Caenorhabditis elegans: one gene and its partner. The protein of the gene in region 1 purifies or fractionates together with the protein of each later gene. This does not show direct contact. Each region holds a gene or a part of one and is shown in the gene's direction. Other genes may lie near its edges.

Region 1 (10,271 bases):
GTACGTGGGAAAATGTCAATTTTTTCTGAGAAAAAGGAGTTTTAACAAAATGATCTAGACCAGAGGTGGGAAAATATTTGATAGTATGTTGCGAGACTGCGAATGATTTGAAAGTTCAACAAGTGTCTAAGTTGCTAAAATTATCAAAAACTTTTACAAAAGTTAAATTTGAAGAGCTAAATTTTAAGAATGACAAATTTGGCAACTTCCAAAGTTGCCGGAAACTTCAAAAACTGGTAGTTTATTCCAAAATAGCTATGTAGCACAAAATTTCAGGAGAAGATATTTATTGGGTTGTGCAAAATCGAATTATATTTGAAAAATGTAAACAAAAAGGTCACTTGTAAGAAAATCGAATTAATAAGCATTGGAAGCAGCAACTGGAGCCGGCGTGGCCGCTGGTGGAGCATCATTGGCGGCTCCCCAAGTTGGAGCAGCAGTTGGAGCACCTCCCCAGGTTGGTGGAGCAGCTGGAGCAGCTCCCCATGATGTTGATGGAGCAGCTGGAGCAGCTCCCCATGATGTTGATGGAGCAGTATTCTCGGATTGCCAGAGGTCAACGAGTGGCTGGGAGGCTGACATTGGTGGGGACTGAGCAGCTACTGGTTGTGGCTGGACGAAGGCGTTGGCGTTGTTGTTGTAGCCAGTTGGTGGGGATTGAGCAGCATTGTTGTTGTAGGATGGGTTCTGGAAGAAAATTGAATTGCATAATAAATTTTCCCTCAAAGTTTTGAAATATGAGCTTCAAAATAACCTAAAAAACATTGAAAAATATCAAAAACTGGCAAAGTTAGGGGTTTTCAGAAATTGAAAAAAAAATTTCTTAGGAAATTTTCTTTAAAACTCAGTGGTACATAGGCTAAATTATCGATTTTTTTTTTGCAAAATTCAATAAAATCCCGATGAAATTTTCAGTTTGAGAAGATTTTTGGAGAGAATTTCAAAATTTTTGGAAAATTCGTAGCTTTTTCAGTTTTTGAGAGTTTTTGGTGATTTTTGTGTCAAATTGAAGCTAAACTTTTATATTTTTTAGGAAAAAATAATTTTTAATTTAATATCGTCTTAGAAAGGTTCAAAAACATGAAAAATTCCTCTCAAATTCCTTATTTTTCGAATTTCAAAATTTTGAGATTTTTCGAAAATCCATAGCATTCTTAGTTTTTGAGACTTTTGGATAAGTTTTGTGGCAAATTGAATATAAATTTTAAAATTTTACAAAAATTCATGTTTGGAGTGATGTATTCAGTAAAATAGCTGAAAAAAGTAGGCCTAATGCCAAATTCTCAAACTTTGGAATTTTCTAAAATTTTTCAAAAATCCAAAACTTTTTCAGTTTTTGAGATTTTTTAGTGAATTTAGTGTTAAATTAAAGCGGAAGTTTCAATTTTTATGGAAAAAACTAGTCTGAACGCTGAAAAACCATATTTTCTTCAAAACTAGACGCTTGAACTCGTCATATGGCTTAAATTTAGGGCTTCAAACTTCGAAATTCGGAGATTTTTTGAACATTCTCAACTTTCTTAGTTTTCAAGATTTTCTAGAGATTTTTGGGCCAAATTAAAGCTGAATTGTTAAATGTTGTAGTGAAATTGTTTTAGTTATATAAAAACTAAATTGTGGTAAAAACCAAAAAGAAAGTCATTGGTCCAAAATTAAAAGTTTTGTTAATTCTGACAGAAATTTGAAAATCTATAACTTTTTCAGTGTATGAGATTTTTCAGTGATTTTTTTGCCAAATTTAAAGTAAATTTTGAAATTATTTAAAAAGGATTAATTTTAAATTTTCAAAAAATTTACTGTCTTCAAAACTAGACTTTTAGACTCGTAGGCCAAAATCTTCAAATATCGAAATTCCGCGGTTTTTTGAAAATTTATAACTTCCTCATTTTTCAACATTTTTTTTGTAATTTTTGAGCCAGATTAAAGCAAAATCACTGAATTCCCAACAAAAAAAAATAGTCCTTAAAATATTCCCCACCTGAGCAGCTGGAGAGGATCTTGGAGCACAGCACACGCACTTGACATTCTTATGATATTTCTTTGGCTCCCAGTTGGCCTCTGACAAGTAGGTAGAGTCAACCTTATGGAATCTTCCACGTCCATGTTTTCCGTCCTTCTCATCAGAATCCGAATCATTATCATCATCATCATCAGCTCCTCTCTTGGATCTCTTGAATGTCTCATCATCATCATCCTTGGTAATAGCCAAGAATCCGAAGAGTTGATCGTTGGGAAGGGAAGTGTCACGACGGGCGGTCTGTTGGCAGCAGAAGTTACAGGAATCTTCATCATGGGTAGCAACTTCGGAGCACTTTACACGAACGGCACGATTAGCTGGGACGGATGGGGCTCCACCGTAGTATGGCTGTGGGTGGCGATGATGGCGGCGGACAGAGTCGACGACGAGGAGCACGGAGGCGTCGAGGTCGCATACGAAGCCTGTAAATATTTTTCATCTTAAAATTCAAAATTTCAGCTTCAATTTAACTTAAAAACTGATAAAATATCTCAAAAACTGGAAAAGTTGTAGATTTTCGAAAATTTTAGAAAAAAACCATTTTAGTTAATTTGACAAAAAAAATTCCTGACTCAAATCAGTTTGTTCTACAGAATTTTAAAAAATTGGCTCTAATTTTACAATAAATTCAATAAAAAATCTCGAAAACTAAAAAAGTTATGAATTTTCGAAAATGTTCAAAAATCTATTATATAACTTTCTCAATTTTCGAGATATTGGGATGGTTTTTGTGGTATTTTGAGGGTAAATTTTTGAATTTTCAAGAAAAATTAGTTTTCGATAAAAATTGTCGAAAAAATTTAATAGCAATAAAATTTGACTCTTCCAAAAAAAAAAGTCCAAAATTTCAAAAATTTTTGAAAATCTATAACTTTCTCAATTTTTGAGATTTTGGGATGGTTTTTGTGTCATTTTAAGGGTAAATTTTTGAATTTTGTATAAAAAATAATGGAAGCTATCGTAACCTAGGAAAAGTGTGTTTTCTACCGAATTTCAATTTCTTTCAAAATATAAAATTTAAGCTTCAATTTGGCATTAAACTCAATGAAATTTTTTGAAAATTGTAGCTTTTTTGAAATTCTGCACCAACTAGATTAAATTTAATCTAAATAAATACTACAGTAACGCAGTTAATTTTGCCAAAAAATTTAAAAAAAATTAATCTTTAATTTGACATAAAAATCAAACAATTATCTCAAAAACTGGAAAAGTTACAGGTTTTCAAACATTTTCAAAAATTCTAATTCTGATAAATTGGCCTAAGTTCTACAGATTTTTTGAAAAAAAAAAACAGTATTTTTGCAACAAAATTTGAAGAACTAGCTTAATTTTGATTTAAAAATTATTGAAAAATCTCGAAAACTGAGAAATTTATGAATTTTTCAAAATTTTTCGAAAATTTGAAAATTGACAAAACTACCTATGAATAAGTCAATTTTTTGATGATTCCCAAAAAATGTTACATTTTTGAAATAAGTTGGCTATTGCGGTTCAAACAAGTATAATCATAACTAGGTCTACGCAAATGCGCTCTATTGCCAAATTACTATAGCTCTTAAAATTTGAATTTTCACGAACTCACGATCTTGAATAAGTGGCTGCCAGTATCCTGGTCCGAATGCTGGGTATCCATATCCTCCTCCATTTCCATAACCTCCTCCTCCATACGATGGACGACCGCCGTAGCGACCAGCAGCGGCCTCTGACTTGACCTCTTCGGTGGGTGTTGGCTGCAGAAAATGTTTCAGATTATCCTAAAATTGCGGAAATCCAAAAAAACCATATACCTTTGCACCGAGGACGGCGGCCAGCGAGGCGACTGTGAGAAGAAGAACGGTTTTCATTTCTGAAAAGCGATCGAATGATGGATTTGTCGGCGGAGCCATGCTTTTATAGTTCGGGGGGAACATGGGATGGGCTCCGCCTACAGAAAAAAAAATCAAGAGGAAAAGCTTGAGGAAGATGAAAGTAGAAATGTCTGAGTTGATGGAACGGGGAAAAAAGAGGAAACATTGAAAAGATGATCGATAGATTTGCACCATATCTCGGCTAATTTTCAAGATATCAAAAAAATTGTAACTAGACAGTTATAGAAAAAGTAATAATAAATAACTTGCCAGTTGATAATTTTTTGATAAAACCAAAGGCTACGAAGATATGAACTGTTAAAGTTGATCAGTAAATTTTTCATCGATGCACCAAAAAGAAGGGAATCTGAAGCATAAATAATGCATGTAAAACCTACTGCCAAAATTTTACAATAAAACTACTCTCAATGCACCATAATCAGCATTTTTGTTCAGCAGCTCGTATCCCTCTTATGTATTTTTATAAATATCAATTTATTACAAAACTTTGTAAAACTATGTAATGCATATTTTACGTGTTTGCAATTTGCTCATTGATATGTAAATTGTTGAAATTTTATTGGCAAATCCATAGAGAAATCCATTAGGAACACTATAAATCACTCCAAAGCTTTCAATTCACAAGGAAAGGAAGTCAATCTAGTCCCGGACTTTGAATCAGGACATATGCCTTTGAAAGCTTATGTTTAGACTAGATCACCAAAAAAATTTCAGCGGCGGAACTCAACTCTGAACCCCTGAAAGCGCCATCTGAAAGTGCTCCAGTGCATTTTTTTGCTGAATTCTAGGTCAAGTAAATGGCCTTAAAAGTGGCTAGAGCGGTTAAAAATTGTTTTTGGGGGTCTTTAGGGTCAAACAAACAGTGTGGAAGCTTTTTGGAAATTTTTATTTTTTTCCAAAAATCTGAAATTTTTGCGGTGATCTAGGCTAACCATAAGCTTTCAAATGACATACGTCTCGATTCGAAGTCCGGGACTAGATTAACTTACTTTCCTTGTCAGACAAATTTTTCACATAATACGTTAATTATCTATTTCATGCCCAAATTCCAGGTATTTGCACATTTCTCCATTCTCATTCAATTGCACTTTCACCCATCACGAGTTGCTCCATATGAAATCATCTGAAATGTCTGAAATTCCAAGCCCACTCAATCATCCCATTTCTCATATAACATGTTGCAATCAGGTGGGCGGCGGCTGCGGCCGGCAGGAAAAAGAGCCCAGCGGAATGTGTGATGGATTGAGCAGCGAAGAAAAAAGAAAATGGAAAAGCTGAAAAAAATAGTCGGTCGAAAAAAAAGTGACCTAAGGATGTGTTGCAACATGTGTCTGAGATCCAGCGGGGTTCAAAGAACTAATTTGTGTATCTTTTAGCAAAGTGTATTTTGAGAAAATCAACACATTTTGAACTAGAACACTGTAGAAAAACTGTTAAGGAACATTTTTCCAGTTGATCAAGTCCGAGTGATTCACCATGTATTGGAGCCTTTTGACTTGTTGGCTCAGTTACCACAGCTGTGAGATTTAATTCCAGGTTCCGTAGCAAACATTTTTGCGCTCCAAACCTTTTTGTTTTTTATCCAACGCCTAACGTTTTCCCCTCAAACTACAATGCCGAGTTCCCGCCTCCATATCTCTGGCGGATCTCAAGTATAAAAGCGGCGAAGCATCTTGGCTCCGATCATCATCATGTTTTCCACCACTTGGATCGTCGCGTCTCTGGCACTTTGCGCCGCTGTCACCTGCGCTGTGAGCACCGAGGCTCCTGAGAAGGTAAGCGTTACTGTTGGTTCTGTTGGAACTAGGAAAAACGGACTGTAAGGTTACTGTAGCTTGATAGATAACTTGATTTAGACACGTTAAAAAGTAAAGCTGTTATAGATATTTGACTAAATCTTGATGTATTGTCAGTAGGTATAATTAGTTGTATTCAAGTTATTAAGATTAGGTTTATTCCGTATCACGTGTGCATTAGTATGTATCACGTAAGGGTTACCTATACTATATTGTGATATCCTAAATAGTAAGTCTAAATAAGATTACTTGCTAAGGTGTAACTTGAATCGGACAGAAAATTTAGAGGTAATAAGATTTCTTGATGAAATGCTATGTTGATTAAGCGTAGATATATTTAATAGAATTCAACTTATTAGGAAGGTTAGTATACATTTAACTAGTTTCTTTTACCTAGGTTCTGCTCCTGGAGTTACTGTGGCTAGATGTAGCTAGACCTTAAATATATGTACCTTAAATAGGATGTAGGTCTAATTCAAATTAAACACGTTACGAATATGGCACATTATTTAATCCGATACAAAGGTAATACTATAAGTAGGCATGTATATTGAATAGTATTCAGGGAGGTATATTAGGACTAATTAAATACTTTTGAGATTAAGTAGTAACTGTTAAATACTGAAAGTGTAATAATTGTTTAGCTTTTAATATTTACCATCATTCATTTGAAGTACTTGTTCTAGGTAGCTTACTATTAGTATAGGAACGTAATCAATACCTACCTTTGAATCTAGACTAGTTTAGAATTTAGTACTAGAAAAAAATTATCAGTAAGTATGAGCGAATAAAATTTTATGTCCAATTTTCCAGCAATCCGACGTCAAGGACGCCCCAGCTGGAGCTCACTATGGCGGTGGCTACGACAACGGACCATCCTACAACCAACCCCAATACCCAGTCTACCAGTTCCCAAACTTTGACGTCAACTATTGCTCTGTCCACGCTTCCTTCCCACTTGTCGGTCTTAGAAGTTAGTTTTAACAACTTTCCTACGGGTCCCGTTCACCTTAAAACTTCTAGAGCACCATCGCGGTCACCACAGAGGCGACCGCGTGAAGAGACAAGCCTACGGAACCCCAGCTCAAGATTCCAACTACAACAACAACCAGCAATACGATGCTCCAGCCTACGGACCATCCTTCATCCAGAGACCACGCCCGTTCGAGCGTCAGGCTTGCAGAAACACCGCCATCTACTCGCAGGAGTCGTGCCAGAACTGCTGCTCCATCTCGTCCCGTGCCGCTGGAAGCTCATCGGTTAGTGCGGGTCAGAGCTATAGCTTTGGTTTATTTTTAGACTTAGGTTTAGGCTTAGGCTTAGGTTTAGGCTTAGGCTTAGGCTAAGGCTTAGGCTTAAGCTGAGACTTAGGCTTAGGCACAAGCTTAGGCTTAAAGTTAGGCATAGGCTTAGGCTTAGGATTAGGCTTAAACTTAGTTCCACCTGTTTTAAGGTCTAGAAACTGTTTTTAGCGTCTGAAAATCATTTTTTGTAATTTTAACGCAGTTTTTAAGCAAATTTTGAGGCCTAAGCTCTTTTGCCTCTACGAAACATATTTGAGGTTGCAAAGCAATTTTTAGTGTATCTGAGAACATTTTTCCGAGTTTAAAAGCTCGTTTTTAGTTGCCTGAAGCTCGTTTTCCCCCCAAAAATCTCTCCAATTTTGCAGAAAGTCGTCGGAATTCTGATGATCTTCGACCCGAAGCTGTCCGCCGACAAGAAGCACCACAAGAAGGACGACGACTTAAACTCGGTGAGCTCACAACTTTTGAAACCCTGCCAAATTTATTTTTTTTCAGCCAGACCGTGCTCTTCAATGCGTGTGCTGCACCTCGAGAAGAGTGTAATTCAACTAATTCCACGTGGCCAACTATTTTATCGATTTTTTTCTTTAAAAATTGTTTTCTTCAGTCAATCAATAAATATATATCGTACTTTGAACCAAAAAAAATATTCATTTGACATATAAAGAACCAAAAAAACTACCCGATTAGTGTGGAAAAATGGGGTCAAAGGACAAAAAGTGAAACAAATAGGAAATCGAGAAATGCAAATTATGAAATGAGACGGAAAAATTGAACATTTAATGAAAATGACACAAAAAATATCGGTTTTTGGCAAAATTCAGAATTTTAGGCGAGGGTTTTTTTTCAATTTATACAGAAAACAGCTGAGATCACAAAAATAGGGAAAAAACTTTGGATTCTAACAATCTACTACTGATATGATGAAACAAATGATGCTAAAGTGGTGTTGATGGCGGTGTTGGCAGGGAATGCGAGTGGGTTCCCGAGCTGATGTGGTTCTGAAAAAATCAATAATTTTTTTTTTTGGAGAACGGGATGAGGAAGCTTTGTCTATACCGCGGTTGTGAAATTGAACTTTTTTAAAAATGAATATCAAGAAAACGCCTGTGGAATTAAAATTGAAACTTCTTTTGTTGGTTCAGGGCAGATAATATAGTGATTTTTCAGCTCTAACAGTTTGTTTTAAAATAAAACAATTACATTTCGAAACTTACAATCTTTCTTATAAATGGAAATTATTAAAGCATTGTGAAATCTTTGCAGCGCATTTGGCTTAGTGGCAAACCTTTTGAAAAACATGTTAGAAACTTTTCGGGTTGAATTTCTTTTTTCATAGATTTCTCCCACTTTTTAATAGTCCAAATTTGCAAAAAAAATCATTTTAAATCCTTAATCCCAAAAGCGGAAATGACGTGGTTTGTTTGTTTTTTCTGGACCTTTTTTTTTCCTTTTTTTTGGGATGAAAAAATTCGCAAAAAATTTTCCCGTGGTGGAGAGTTGAACTCATTACCACCCGAAAAAGTGTGTCAATTCCAGCAGCTTGTTTTGAATTATATCCATCTATTGCCTGATCTATTGTTCGCCTATTCCCAATTTTTTTGCACATCAAACCAAAACAAGCTGACTCACCGAGAACACCGGAACACACGCAAGTGCGACTTTTTGTACTCGTTCCACATATTTGTCGCACGAGTCGTCGAAGAGCATCACTCGCATGTTGTACATCATTGGCTCGCAGTGGATTATGCCGCCTTGAAAATATTAGGTTTATCTGGTGTTTTTGGGCGATTTGAGTAGAAAATTTGAATTCAGCAAGGTTTATTATGGTATAAACCTAGGATTTTTACATTTCTACTAATAGTAAAATAGTTTCCTATGTACTAAAATTCCAGAAATTACTATTTTTGACTTATGAACTTTAAAGCTCATATCTCAGTTGCCTTTAAATTTATCAAAATAATGTCAACTGGCAAAATATTTTTCATTTATTTTTCTTTAACATAGTAAAAAATAAGTTTTGATATCAATAACTTGAACCGAGTTACAAGCTGTTAAAGTGATCTACAAGACATGGTGCATCGACCCCGAACTTTGACCGCTTTTATTTCGATTATCTTTGGTGATATAAAAAATTTGTTAACTACCAAAATATTGCTTGTCAACTTTTCTACAACTTTGTAGTCGATTTTATTTTTTTATCATCAAGTTGAACCGAGATATAAGCTGTTAAAGTGAGCTGCGAGACATGGTGCATCGGCCCCGAACTTTGACCGCTCATATCTTGATTTTCTTTGGTGTTATCAAAAATTTGTTAACAAACAAAATATTGTTTATTAATTTTTCTATAACTTTGCAGTTAAGAATTTGTTGGTACGGTTAAGGTTAACCCAGTTATCAACTGATAAAGTCATAGTGCATCCACCAACTGAGTGTTGCTCAGAACATTTTCCAAGATCAAGTTAATATCAATTTTTGCAATTTTTCTGATCTGTCGCAGCTGAAACTTCTAACTTGATATAATATTTCATCAAGTTTAATTCCCAGTGTCTAAAAATGCGGAAATTCCAACTTGAAGATCAGTTTCTTGCACTTTTCCGTGACTCGGTGACAAAATCGAACACCAAAGTTTTGTTTATTCACTCAAGTTCAGCTGTGTGTATGACACATTGTCTGAATATTTGTTTTGAGCTAACAATAAGTATATGTAATCAGGTGTGAAAAAGTATACCGAAAACAATTATTTTAAGTCAAATTGCACTTATATTTTGATCAAAAATAAGAAAATTTTGAGCATTTAAAGTTGAGTAAACCAAATTTAGTTGATGCACCATGGTTAGCTTTTAGTTAAAAAGCTTAAATCCTAGTTTAACCAGCTGATAGGAAAATAGTTTGGCATACAAACTGTAGAAAATTAAATTCTAAATATTTTGTTAGTTAAACGTTTTAGGATAAAATCAATGACAACAAAGACATAAGAGGTCGAAGTGAAGAATTCATCCATGCACCATGTCTTGCAATACTAATTCATTTATGACAATCCCTAGACATTCCATTTCCCCTTGAAAAATACAAGCTAGGTTGCAAAATCGAACATCGACAGGTGAAAAACCATGTTTCAGGAAACTTTTGCTCGCCTACTATTCTATCAAGTCACCTGCCAACAAAGTGACGAACATGCACAAAATCGAACATTTTTGATAATTCTACTTTTTTATCGAACACCAGCAGGTGTTATATATACTTTTTTGTTGTATTTTGTGCAGCCTAAGGATCAAACTTGTGT
Region 2 (12,927 bases), about 10 Mb from region 1:
GCATATGCTCTGAAGTTTTTAATTTTGATAATTTTAATCTGAAAATATAATTACCTCTCATGAAGATACCATCCTAAGTTTCGTTTATCATCCTTAATATGTAGATACTGAGCAATGTCGTTGACACCAACATCGTTTTCTGGAACTATCTGAAAATAGAAAAACTTCTGCCTTCTTCCTATATTAAATCCGGAAAGTGCAAGGGTCGTCACTTTTTGCGCAAAAAGTGTAACAAAAAATTTAAAAAGTTGGGTGTGCACTTTCGTCTGTAACTTTGCTGTACCTGCACATTTTTTAATTTTCTTTTTTGTAGGAAATAGAGAATCGCTTTTTCTATCTTATTATCTAAATGGTTATTTGATTTGATTTCATCTTTTAAGAGAAATTCTTGATGAAACACGAAAAAATCACTTTTTTCGCGTGTAGTGTCGCTTTTTTTGCACACGTTTAGAGGTCATAGTATAAAATGTTTTTGATAAGGTAACTGTATATCTGGGATTGATAAAAATTTTTAGTTTTTGCAATTTCATCAATTTTGAACTGAGTTATGATGATTTGAAAATCGGACTCGAAAAATCCCGGAATTTCGAAAATTGCGTTGAAAACATGTTTAACGTTCGTATTTTTGTTTTATTTTACATTATCAAATGTAAATTTTAACGTAGATTCCGTTTTTCTAAATAGTTTTCTCATTATCCAACCGGAAAGTTACGAAAAAAGCATAAATTGACGATTTTTCAATGAAATTGTGCGCAACCCCTTGGTGTGCAAATTAGTGATTTTTGAGATTCTTTCGGCTGTAAGTCGGTCAGTTTGGCACTTTTTGGGGTAAATTTTTCGAAAAACGTATTTTTCAGGAAATTTACTCTTCAAAAATATAATTTTTTTTACAAAAAAGTCAAAAATAACTTCAGAAATCGCAAATTTCTGCATTTTCTCAAAAAAATGACGTTTTTGCTGGAAAAATAAAAAATTTTCCACTACCGAATGGGATTTTATGTTAAATTCGTAATTAGTACATAAATACCGAATGCAAGCTGAAAGCACAGTCCTCTACGATCATTTTCAACGAATTTAGTTTATTTAATTTTTGACCTCGAAATTTCAATTTTCCTCTTTTCCTGGACCAGTTTTCTGTTGGATAATGAATTTTATGTCCTAATTCTTATTATTTTTGCTATGAGAAGCGAGACAAACTAAAATTTTTTGGTCATGAGTTCCTCGAGCCCCGTTCCTGAAGTTGTAGGCTTCAGGCCATGCTTAGGAAGCTCAAAAGTTCATTCTTCACCAATTTCTAAAATTTCAAATGCTATCATATTCTCCTTTTAACGCTGAGTTCAAGTATATACTTTTAATTTTTCAATTCCTACTATGAACAAAGTTACGACGCGTCGAAGTTTGAAAAGTCTTTGCCCGGCCCCCTCCTTCCCCTCATCCGCCAGTGGTAGTTGTATTATTCAACTCACCTGGGTACCCAACTCTTCCCAAAAATCAACATATTTGAATTATCAGTCATATAGTGGAGATATTCTTCTACTCGACACATCGTCACCCCACCATAAACCCCTCAAACATGTCGTCTTTGGCTGTCCACGTGTACATGTACATACAATTGCAATTGTTTTGAATAATTCTTGCCTGTGGCAACCTTTTTGACTATCCCTACAGTATATTTGATTACTTACATATTTTTGTTCTATTATAGCAGGCCGAAGGCCTGCTATACTGGTTCAGGAAGCCACGCAGGCCGTAGGCCTGCGGTGCGAGACCCAAAACATTGCCAATCGCACGTTCGAGGCGAAGCCGAGAACCCGCGCCAGCTAGCGGACTCGCCCCAACCCAACCTCTACTAGCGGGCCCCATAGGGCCCGCTAGTCAAAAACGAGATTTGTTATAAAATTTCAATACCGTTTCAATTTCCACATTATGGTGCCATTGTTGGGTCATTGCATCGTAGGACTTCCAGAATGTTGCCAACCGTCCACCTAATGCTATTGATGAGCCAATTAAGGGAGCACGGTGCCATGCAGGAACAAATTGATCGGAGATCCTAGCGGCAAGTACATCGGCTCCTGGTTGCGGAGATCCAAGACTAGTCAATGAGGATATTTGAACAGGATGTTGGAAATATTGAATAGCAAATTGTGATGGCTCCTCTTCATTCCATTTAACATTTCGGATCCAGTCTCCTTGAAGACTTCCAACACCTCCAAGCACCTCAGATGTTTCGTGATTCCATATAACCACTTGTCCATCACAGCCAGATGAAATTACAAGACGATCATCAGCTTTGTTCCTGTATTAATATTTTTCGTAATTTTTATATAGTTTTTTGTACAAAAATAAATTGTCTAGCTCAATTTTTATTATATAATCAACAAACTTTTAAATAAAAACTTACCAGTCAACACTCGTAATTCCCATATTATGATGTCTGTATTCTTTAACTGGTGTTGAAGTGAATCTCGAATCCCATTTCTGAATAACAGAGGCGTGTTGAGATTGGCTGGAAACTATAAGTTGTGAGGCGTCCGAAGGATTCCAAGAGAGCGAAGACCAATCACAGCCAGGAATCTGCAAATAGAACTTTAATAGCCACCAGGCAATTGAAAATCCAACCTCTGCGAATTCTAACACCGGCGATCCATTTCTTCTCAAATCCCAAAAACTGACTCTTCTGGACGATATGGAAGCAAACACAGACTCGTTCTTCAAGTTCCAGCGAAGAAGTTTCACTTGATCTGGGAAATTTGGCGAACCGGGAGAGAATGGTGTTTTCAGATTTGCGCAATCCCAGAGAAGAATTTGTCCTGAGCCTCCACCAGAAGCCATCCATCTTAAAAATTATTTTTTTGAATTGTTCTTGTAAACTTTCATTTCATACCTGCCGTCCCTGGAAACATCAATAGTGAGAACATGCCCATGATGATCTCTTCGAGAAAGAAGAACTTCTAGTGATTGATTCTTGATAAATTTATCAGCATCAAAAAATACCACAGTTCCGTCCTCTGTACCGCCAGCAATTATTCCGTTCGGATGTGCATCGGAACACAGAGAAGTCCAGGCTAATTCATTGAATCTAAAATTATGAAATACACTATACCGCTTCACATTATAATTCTCACCGATAATTAGTGGCATGCGACACATTCGGGGCCAAATTCGATTTTTCATATATCTCACTTGCTGGCAAAAAATCGATCTTTGGTTCGATTGATGTTGCAGTCGGGTCAAAAAACTGAGCGAAATCAGCAACAATTAAGCCCTGAAAATTTGATTTATTTCAATTATAGACGAAGATTGATTAATTACCTTTTTCTGAATTCCACGTGGACTCCAGACAAATACGCCGGAACGTGAGTAGAGCTTCGAGCTCATCGATCGTGTTCCGTTTAATGAGCAATTGTTGTAACTTTAGCTGTAACGTTGACGTGGATGAATGAGAGCAGCTGAACAGGGAGTAAGTGCGCTCCTTTGCACTCGAACAAATAGGAGGAAGTGAAAGTTTTTAAAAGAGTAGTCTTGATGTAATTCAGACAGCTAGAAACACCGATATCGAACGGAAAAGAAAAATGGCAGAATGAATGTTCCTTAGAATGTTCCGCATATAAAAATTGGGACTCCCAATTTGGGAGGAGTAATTCAAAATATTTCAATATCAAAAAGTGAACTCATCGCACCAATTTTCGAAAAAATAGAAGCTTCTTATTTAAAAATGTTTAAGAAAAATATCAAAAAGAAAATAAAACACTAATTGTTATATGTTTAAGAAATCAGACAATGTTTTTTCAAGTTATGTCGCGCGGACAGAGAAAACAGAGAATACACAAATTCTACTAATAGCTATTGAAAGAAGCGAGGAAAAAAGTTCATTAAAAACCTTAATTTCGCTATTCCCGAAGGAAAACGAAACGATGATTTTAAAAATCAAAAAAAAAATTGATTTTCCGTGGATCTGCAAAACGACGTGAAGTGTCTTTGCGTACTTTTGCATACCGTAGTCAAGTAAGCCGCTAATGTCCAAACTTTCTATTTAAAGTTATAATTATTTAAACCGACTATGAATTTTTAGAAGTTAATTTTTTTGTTTCAGAAAATTAACAAAAAATTGGATGCAATTAAAATTAAATCAACCAAAAAAACATATTTTGGAAAATGGAAACGGTTGGTATTAAAGGATCATGTATGTTGTTAGTTGGGTCTCGCCACGATTGCTAACTAATACCGTACTCTGTTATTTTTGGGCCGCACAATTCTTTAGTTTTTCTTAATTTTGAAAATATCTTGAATTTTCTCATAATATTTTGTTTGTTTTCATTAATTTTATGATCTAAAATTAATTTTTAAAGAATAAAATTGAGCAAATGTATGCCAATACCCATTTCAGACATGTAAAAGTGCAGTAGATCAAAAATTATTTGACCCCAGTTTTAGGCTCGAGCGGGAAATTTTTTGGATTGAGTTTTCAACCTCGAATGTTCCATTTCATTCCTTCTTCATTAGCTCTAATTTTTATTAGTTTCTCCTGAAATGGCGACCATTTTGAACCTTTTCTGTTTTTATTTCGTAAAACTTTTAAGTTAAAATATTCATCCTCTAACTGTTATCAATTTCAGGCGATGGGGCCACAGCTAGCCACCGTCTCGCTGCTTCTACTAACATTTTGTGAGTTTCTGCCTCTTTCTTTTCAATCAAATATTTTTATTTTCCAGTTTCGAATTCTATTCAATACCCGCACTCACCAGCAGCCACAGAATGCCCTGCATACTTCAACGGAAACATAGCAGGAAATGCATGCAGTCGGGAGGTAAACCAGTAGCCCTCCGTTTCAAATATAATTCTTTATTTTCAGTACTCGATATGTGTGAACGGAGTCAGGCAAGCAGCCACCTGCAGCGATGATTCTGTCTTCTACGAAGACGAATGTGTGCCAGTCGACGAATCTCCAGAATGTCGAGTAGATGAAAACACTGAAGAAGATGACACCCCATATGCGGAATTCGACTGCACATCGAAACAGGATGGCATCTACTCCATTGGCTGCTCTAACCAGTTTATCAGCTGCGTCGCCGGCGGAGCCTACATGGCGAAATGTCCTGATAGCTTGGTCTTTAACGAAAGAACCCAAGATTGTCGTGAATCTTGCGACGAAGTGAAACAGGACACAACTACTGCACCACAAGTCTACGAAGATGGTGAAGAAGGATACGGAGAAGCTTCCGGTGAGATTGCTGGAGATTACGAACGTCAACCGTCGAACGAGCAGCCGGATTCAATTGACTTCGATTGCAACGGTCTGGAAGACGGAAACTACGCCGACGGTTGCAATGACGTATTCTACTCATGCAGCAACAACATGGTGTTCCAGAGATACTGTCCACCGGGAACAGTTTTCAATATCAATCAACGTAAGTGCACGTGATCGAGTATTATGTTAATTTCTTCGTTTTTCAGAGTCCTGCGATTTCCAATGCACGACCGATGATCCAACGACCACTGTATCGTACTCAACTTCTACAATCACAACACCGCAAGAAGATGACAGTGAATACAGCTCAACAACTTCCGCTGATGTCATCTCAACAACAACAACACCTTCAATTGATGCTATTGAGACAACTACGACTGGATTTGATGCCGTGACAACGACAACAACGACGCAAACTCCGTTCGTTTGTCAGGAGGGACAAGTCAACTCCTTCGGGATGTGTTCGTCACGATTCAATCGTTGTCAGAACAACTCGGTGCGTTCAAAGCAATGTCCAGTCAACACTCTCTTCGAGTCCTCTCTCGTTATGTGCGTGTTCGATTTGCCACAATGTCAACCAATCACTGTTCCCGCCGCTCCTGCGTACAACTCTTACGGGCCTCCATCGGATACCATCGTCAGTCCATTTGATGAGAACGTTCGTCTGAAACCAAAATTCGACAGAAGGCGTAAGTATCATCATGGGAAGCCGAGTTACGGACCGGTAAATGGAAACTCGTATCTTGAGAATCCATTCTTCATCCCTCGACACCGTGGAGGCAGCCACAGAGATCATCGCCGCTATGGTTATGGACGTAAGTTAGGATTAGTCTTTTCTTTGTGATAATTTTGATACTTCAGCGGCCATTGATTCTCCATTCTCAACCGCTTTCCGTGGTCGTGCTGCACTTAGCGATCAATTCAAAGACTACCGCCGTGCAAGAATGGGAAAGATCCAAGGAGATGCCAGGAAGGTTGATGGAAACAAACGTTTCTTGATTGATGATGAGTTCGAAGGGCCAAACGCGAAGTTTGTTGAATCTAACATTGAGCAAGTATTCCCGAAGAATCGTCATTCAAAAAAACAGTTGGGACCACATGAGGATCCAGACGGCTATGACGACGAGAAAACGTTCGACGCAAAAGATTTGTTCGGAGCCACGAGAAGGAAGCGTTCAGCCTACTACGGAACTGAACAATCTGTATATGGACAGCAGTCTGCACAAATATCTGCTCGACAAGCTCAAGTAAACAAGGACTGTCAACAATACACTACTCCCACTTTCCTTACATTCGGCGACTGTTTCGATCAGTTCATTTTCTGCTCTGGAAACGGAATCAATCGTATGGCAGCTTGTCCAATTGGAGAAACATTCGACAAAACTCTTCGTTCTTGCTCAGAAACGTGCGGTGTTTCAACAACAATAGTCGCTGTCACAATCGGAACACAGACTTCAGACGATTTATCTGCACCTTCTGAGTACATTGAGAATGACGGCGTCACTACTCAATCAACATGGAATGATCAACCATCAACCACTCAGGCTCCAAATTCATACGAATCTTACACCACCCAATACTCTTCAAATGACGTGCCATCGACTTCAGCTGCTCCCATTGGGGATCGTTGTTCATTGGACGCATCAGGCCTTTTCTCACTTGGATGCTCGCAAAAATACATTCAATGTTCTAATGGAGCAGCAATTGTGCGTCGTTGTGGAGAATCGTTGTATTTCAATGAGGCCACACAAGAGTGTACTTACAGAGATGAAGTTCCAGAGTGTAAGCTTTAGTCTAAGCTGAGGTTTATATCAACTTGATAATTTTCAGGCGGATCCCAAGGATCTACAAGTTCACCTGTTATCACTACACCAGGCCAGGATCAGTCATCGAACTACTACGGAATCCCATCGGATGATGTCCCATCCACCACACAAACGCCGGTTGGAGATCGATGCGCTTATGTTGCTTCTGGGCTTTTTGATCTAGGTTGCTCGCAAAAGTACATCCAGTGCTCGGATAGTGCTGCATCTGTGAGAGAATGTGAAGGGTCTCTGTATTTCGATGAACGAAGCCAAAGTTGCCGTTTCAGAGACGAAGTGTTCAAATGTGAGTTTTAACTTTGTTTGAAAATATTATGAAAGTTACAATTTCAGGCCAAACAGCAGACGTAAGTTCTTCGTCGACTGTTCCGTATTTGGACTTCACAACTACTCCAGCATCGCCATCAGAGGATGAGCCAACAACGTATGAACCTTCCGTGGCACCGTACATTCCGTCGGTTACTGTCAACCCAGTTGATACCTGCACAAGTCTCTCAGATGGAACTCATGGAACGGGATGCTCATCGTTTTACTTCGTCTGTTCACATGGACGCCTTATCAGTTCGGGTAACTGCCAGCTGGGTGAAGGTTACGATCCATCAGTACAAGGTTGCCGGACTTTCAGTGAAATTCCAGCTCGAGCTTGTGATGAGCAGGAAGTTACGACAGGTATCAAATTTCAATATTTCTTAAGCTTCAATCCTCTAATTATTTCAGATGCTGGTCTTGTTCAGTTAATGCCGTACAAGACATTAGAAGAGGTTCTTACGACAACTGAGGCTGCTACTACAGTTGCAAATGACGGGCCAACGGACACCTACATCACTGGCTCCACTAAATATTCTACAACAGACAGCGGTGAATACACTATTCCATACGGAGATGAAACCACGTCTACTAGATCCTATGACCGAGCCGATAATGACAGCGAAGACGAAGAAGAGGATGACGTGGAGCACGACCAAAAATGCACCGTTGGATCACGTACCCCCGTTGGATTCTGCGTTCGCACATACCTGGAATGTACCGACGCCGGAAACGTTGAGAAATTGTGCAGGATTGGGAAACTCTTCGATTCTCACTCTAACAGATGCGTTCCTAGAATCGGTTGTGGAAAGGAGGCTATTCGTGATGCTATCAAGGATGTGAGTTGATTATTAAGCTAGTATCTCACAAATTACTGAATTTCAGATGATTGCAACAACGCCCGCTCCTGCTCAACCAAAGCAGTTTGAAGGACGATGTGCACATGTGGACGGGGAAGCTGTCTTTTCTATTGGTGTCTGCAGCAGCAAATATCTCAGATGCTCGTACGGTGCTTCAAAACTTCAACAATGTTCCGAAGATCGTGTTTTTTCAAATGACAAGTTGGAGTGTATCGTTAGAGAATCTGTATCCGCGTGTACTGTTCCGAAAAATCCGTCCATCAAGAAGTACTACACCAGTAATGATCAGTCCGCTTTTTGTGATGGAAAGGAAGATGGCCTTTACAGAAACGAAAGAGATTGTTCGGCAATTCTTCAGGTATTTTTAACGAATGTTTTCAAACTTAAACGAAATTTTTCAGTGCTTCGGAGGAGAACTGTTCGAACATCCATCATGTCAATCCAGCCTTGCATTCAATCAATTGACCGGCAAATGCGACTACCCACAAAAAGTCAGTGGATGCGAGAACCATGGTCAAACCAATGGAGAATGCTCCGAACATGGATCTTTCATCGCTGATGCCAATAACTGCGAAGTTTTCTATCGATGCGTGTGGGGACGAAAGGTTGTGATGACGTGCCCATCGGGAACCGTGTTCAATCCATTGTTGTCCGTTTGCGATTGGCCAAGCGCAGTACCATCTTGTTCTGGCCAAGCGTCTGACAGCAACTCTTCATACGGCAGTTCGACGTACAATGATGATAAATCGGGATATTGATAAGTTGTTCTAAACACCCCCATTCCGCAAACTAATCTAATCTTTACATGTACTAACTTTATTGCATTTGATCTCTTGAGCTAATCAGCTATTATTCAGCATCATTCCCTTCCCATTTTTCTCTACCCCATACACCCAAGTTTTCATGTTGTCATAATAATCTGATTTATTTGCATGCTCAACGATACCTTGAAGTTTAAAATTTTGTTAAATAAATCGTGCGAGCCCCAACTGTTCCAAAATAAAATGCAATCCTGTACCGATTCGAACCCCACAAAAGTTATAATAGATGTTTCCGTAAAAAATGCCGCTGTAAATGTGAAAGGGACGCAATTCATCTGAATGATTCTCTCGTATCAATCAATGATTGTTTGATATTCTTCTGAACAGTGTTCTACAAAAATGAAAGTAAACATTTTATAAATTTTACAGAAATTTGTAGTATCATTGAAAAGAAAACAATTGCTGAAAATAGAAGTTGACAAAATTGCTATTTGTTTCAGAGAGTTTTAGACGTATATTAATTTCAAGAAAATAATTTGAAGTTGAAAACTGAAAAGCTTGTGTGATTTGAAATGCAATTTCCAATTTTAGTTATTTTCCAGAAATCCCCTGAAAAATTTTCCTTGTAAACTTTCCATTTTGTGATCATTCAATCCATCTTCTTCACTTTCTTTATTCAACTTGCACCCAAGGGGGCACATTCTTTTGACTCACACCAATCTTTTGACTTTTTCTAACTTTTTTCTCTCAAAATTGTTTCCGGTTTTGTCGTTCCATTTGGATGTCTCTATGGAGTGTCGTTCATTGTACTTTTTTGTTTTTCAAATAATACTTCAACATTTTTTGATAAAAAATATTAACAAAGTTTCCGATGTACATTGCGAATGTTTCAAGTGCCAAAACATCAAACATATCACAAATTGTATCTTCGTCGCAATCAATCTTATTGAAGAAAATAGAAAGCTCTGGATGATGACCTATTTCAAGAACATGATCCAAAAATTGTCTCACTCCAAGTCCTGGATTGGTCCAAGTTTGTCCTTCACTAGTCTTCAGAATGAATTCACGTTTACCAGGTTGTTCAAGGACTTGGTTTATATCAAATGAGAAGAACGCGGACGCAACAAAGTTATTCCTATCGGCCCGAATATAAAATCGTATATTGTCTTCTAAACCCACCAGAACATCTCTCATTTTTATATTCAAATTCTCAACATGATTTTTTGCCGTTTGAGAAATGAGAGCGAATCCAATTCTGAAACAAGAAACTTTTTTTTTGCCTCCGGATAGAAATGATGTTAATTCTCATATGTAGAATAAAATGTATCTATTCTCTCGTGCTCTCTCACCCCACCAGTTGTCGATGGCCATGATCGAGTGCACTCGATAAAAAGAAACGGAGAGGCAGTATAGAACTGACCTCTCACAGGTGCAAGACTAATTTTCAAAAGCCCCATAACTTCGGAACAGTTACCAAATTTTATGGAAAACTTTTAAACCAATACAACCGTTTAAACCAATACATTATTTTCTAATACTTTATCCTCTATTAGAACAATTTTTGAGAAGTTTATCCAAAAATTACAAATTCGTTGAAGTTTCCTCATAGTCAAAAAAAAGGTGCAAGACTATTAGAGACTGCAATACTAATAGAAGAAATACGGTAGTTCCACTTTAATATTGGCAGCTATAATTATTTTACAAACGGCGTTTCTGCGACACAATAATATTTGGTTATTAGTGTGTCGTCAGGCGTATTTTGTCGAGCAACGTCTAATGATGCGTGACGTCATAACAAACTGGTGTCCCCATTTTTATAGGTCAAAGTGTCACACAAAAAACGGTGGAGGGTTTAAGAAGTTTTGGAAAACGGATAAACACAAAATTTCAGAAACTTACAATTCGGTTAAAGGCATTCTTCGAAGAACGTAATTCAGAGATTTCTCAGGTAGATTGAGCAGAGGAAAGATGCTCATTGTGTCAGAATAGGAGAACAGTGACTGTGTTACAATATTGAATGGAAGAGGGAGACTTATGATCTAACCCCATTATTATCCTATTTTCAGATCTTTCTTGCTTTTTCTCTTATCCTCTGCTTCTCTCGTAATGCCCACTCGAGTAGACAACGCGTTGAATCACTATAAAATTAGGAAGAACTGGGTCAAAGGCCACCTTTACGTTCATATTTATTGAAGGGGAATATTTTATTCAGTCAAAATGATGTTATATATCTTAAAAATATTAACACACAAGAGCCTAATAGCTTGCCGACACCGCCTGTAAATCACGAAGGCAGCTTTCAATCACTCACAACGAAATCACAACGAATGCATAAAAAACCATGCAACGAGATGGTTTAATTTAGCTCTCGAAATGATAAACGAAATTATAAAAAAAGAGGACTTATAGATATCTATTATTATCTAGAAACTCGTATATGGTTTCACTTTTGACAAATAGTAATTTCCCTCAATTTTCCCTCGAAAGTTGTAGAACATCATGCACCCTTTTCCTTTGTTTATTTGTTTCATCGTTTTCTATTTCTGATTCTCACATTTACTAAAATTAACTTCAATTGTCCTTGCCACAAAGTTTTCGTACGGACTTTTTCTCATTCCTTACGCGATCATCGACCCATTTTATTGCTGGCAAAGAACTTTGATTATTTGTATATTCTACTGAGATAACTTTCAAACTTTCAGTATAACTGTGTCCAATCATTGTTGTTGTGTTTTTGCTACAGAATAAATACAATTTGAAAGGCTTGAAGGAGAATATGCTTTGATCAATTTCAAATGAAAGCTCTTCCGTGGTTGCTTTTCGAAATAATATTAGTGATCCGGAAACGTCAGATTTCCGTGAGTGATGACACTATGTTCCAGATATAAATAATCCAAACGTCGAATGATCAAAGAGTGAGTGGAATCTAGTTATTCAGAGTGACTGGCAGCTGAAATTATACCTGAACTTTTCTGATTCTGGAATTGGTACGTATTTGGAATACTTTAAATGTCGTCTGATCAGTTTTAAGGTCACCATTCTAGTCTCCGTTTTACATTTTTATCTGACTATGAGTTCTGCCAAAATTACTAGCTTTTCATATTTTTCTCGCCGAATACAAATATTTAACTCTGCCAAAATTAAACATTTGGGTTTTCACAGTTGAAATTTGCATTCTTAATCGATTTCCATTTTTTTGTCTTATTTCTGAATTTTAGACTATTTTTGGAAATGTTAAAGCAAAACTTCATTCACACGTCCTCCAGCGTTTCCCAGTCAGGGCTTTCAAACAGAATATGTCACCCGCCTCAAGACGTCTTTATTTCAAAGTAAACAAATTATTGTCTTACAAAATTCAAATTGGTGTAAGAAAAATTGTATCCAGGTGAGAGCCGTAATCTTACTATAAACCTTCAACCTTCCAGAAACTTGAAAATGCAAGGCGTCATACATATAAATTCTAAATCAAAATGAGTTTGTTAATATAGTCTGTGTGGTATTAGAGTTTTGAGGATTTGATGTAAAGAGCACAAATCACATTGAAAAAGAGCAAATATCACATGAAAAGAAATTGAATTTAGATGGAGAAAGTTCATAATTTCAAAAGTCCCTTTTGGATAGGTTGAATGAGATATTAATGATTCAAAAATGGATCAGCTAGGCGATTCGAGTCATTTATATTTTCCATTCATTGAGTTGTTTTCTAATATTCTAGAAAAAGTACAGAAGAACAACTATTGATAGATAATTTAATTCGTTCTCATTTATCTCCTTTTCTTCTTTTTTCCAGTCCTCCCTCACATCATTTTCGTTGTTTTGGACCGCAGGTGGTCCGCTTCTGAAAGGCGTATCAATTAGATATTTCTTCATTTTCTTCTCATTCTGATGCTCCATATAACATTTTGTAGTTCTTCCTCTATGAAAAGGAG

The links.
Region 2: the proteins of perm-2 (region 1) and cbd-1 purify together in Caenorhabditis elegans (affinity purification with mass spectrometry, with the first as the bait; one study listed by BioGRID). This does not show direct contact.

The regions. Positions count from the first base shown.
Region 1 is NC_003282.8:1,121,225-1,131,495, forward strand, and holds perm-2 (uncharacterized protein), read left to right. Parts: upstream 1-5,565; 5' UTR 5,566-5,576; coding exon 5,577-5,660; intron 5,661-6,494; coding exon 6,495-6,654; intron 6,655-6,704; coding exon 6,705-6,940; intron 6,941-7,350; coding exon 7,351-7,434; intron 7,435-7,480; coding exon 7,481-7,528; 3' UTR 7,529-7,641; downstream 7,642-10,271. Other genes in the region: perm-4 (PERMeable eggshell), read right to left, coding at 358-687, 1,979-2,439, 3,600-3,747, 3,805-3,861; C44B12.6 (Clip domain-containing protein), read right to left, coding at 7,924-7,986, 8,618-8,739.
Region 2 is NC_003282.8:11,368,375-11,381,301, forward strand, and holds cbd-1 (Chitin-binding domain protein cbd-1), read left to right. Parts: upstream 1-4,616; 5' UTR 4,617-4,619; coding exon 4,620-4,665; intron 4,666-4,712; coding exon 4,713-4,807; intron 4,808-4,852; coding exon 4,853-5,408; intron 5,409-5,454; coding exon 5,455-6,063; intron 6,064-6,109; coding exon 6,110-7,030; intron 7,031-7,078; coding exon 7,079-7,357; intron 7,358-7,404; coding exon 7,405-7,740; intron 7,741-7,788; coding exon 7,789-8,216; intron 8,217-8,262; coding exon 8,263-8,595; intron 8,596-8,638; coding exon 8,639-8,995; 3' UTR 8,996-9,253; downstream 9,254-12,927. Other genes in the region: sec-31 (WD_REPEATS_REGION domain-containing protein), read right to left, coding at 1-9, 55-149, 1,909-2,296, 2,402-2,574, 2,620-2,836, 2,885-3,079, 3,126-3,265, 3,313-3,378; fbxb-76 (F-box domain-containing protein), read right to left, coding at 9,800-10,253, 10,898-10,974. UniProt on the Caenorhabditis elegans protein: In unfertilized oocytes, maintains egg-1 and egg-2 at the plasma membrane together with chitin synthase chs-1 and kinase mbk-2. Essential for the formation of a continuous and cohesive chitin layer following fertilization.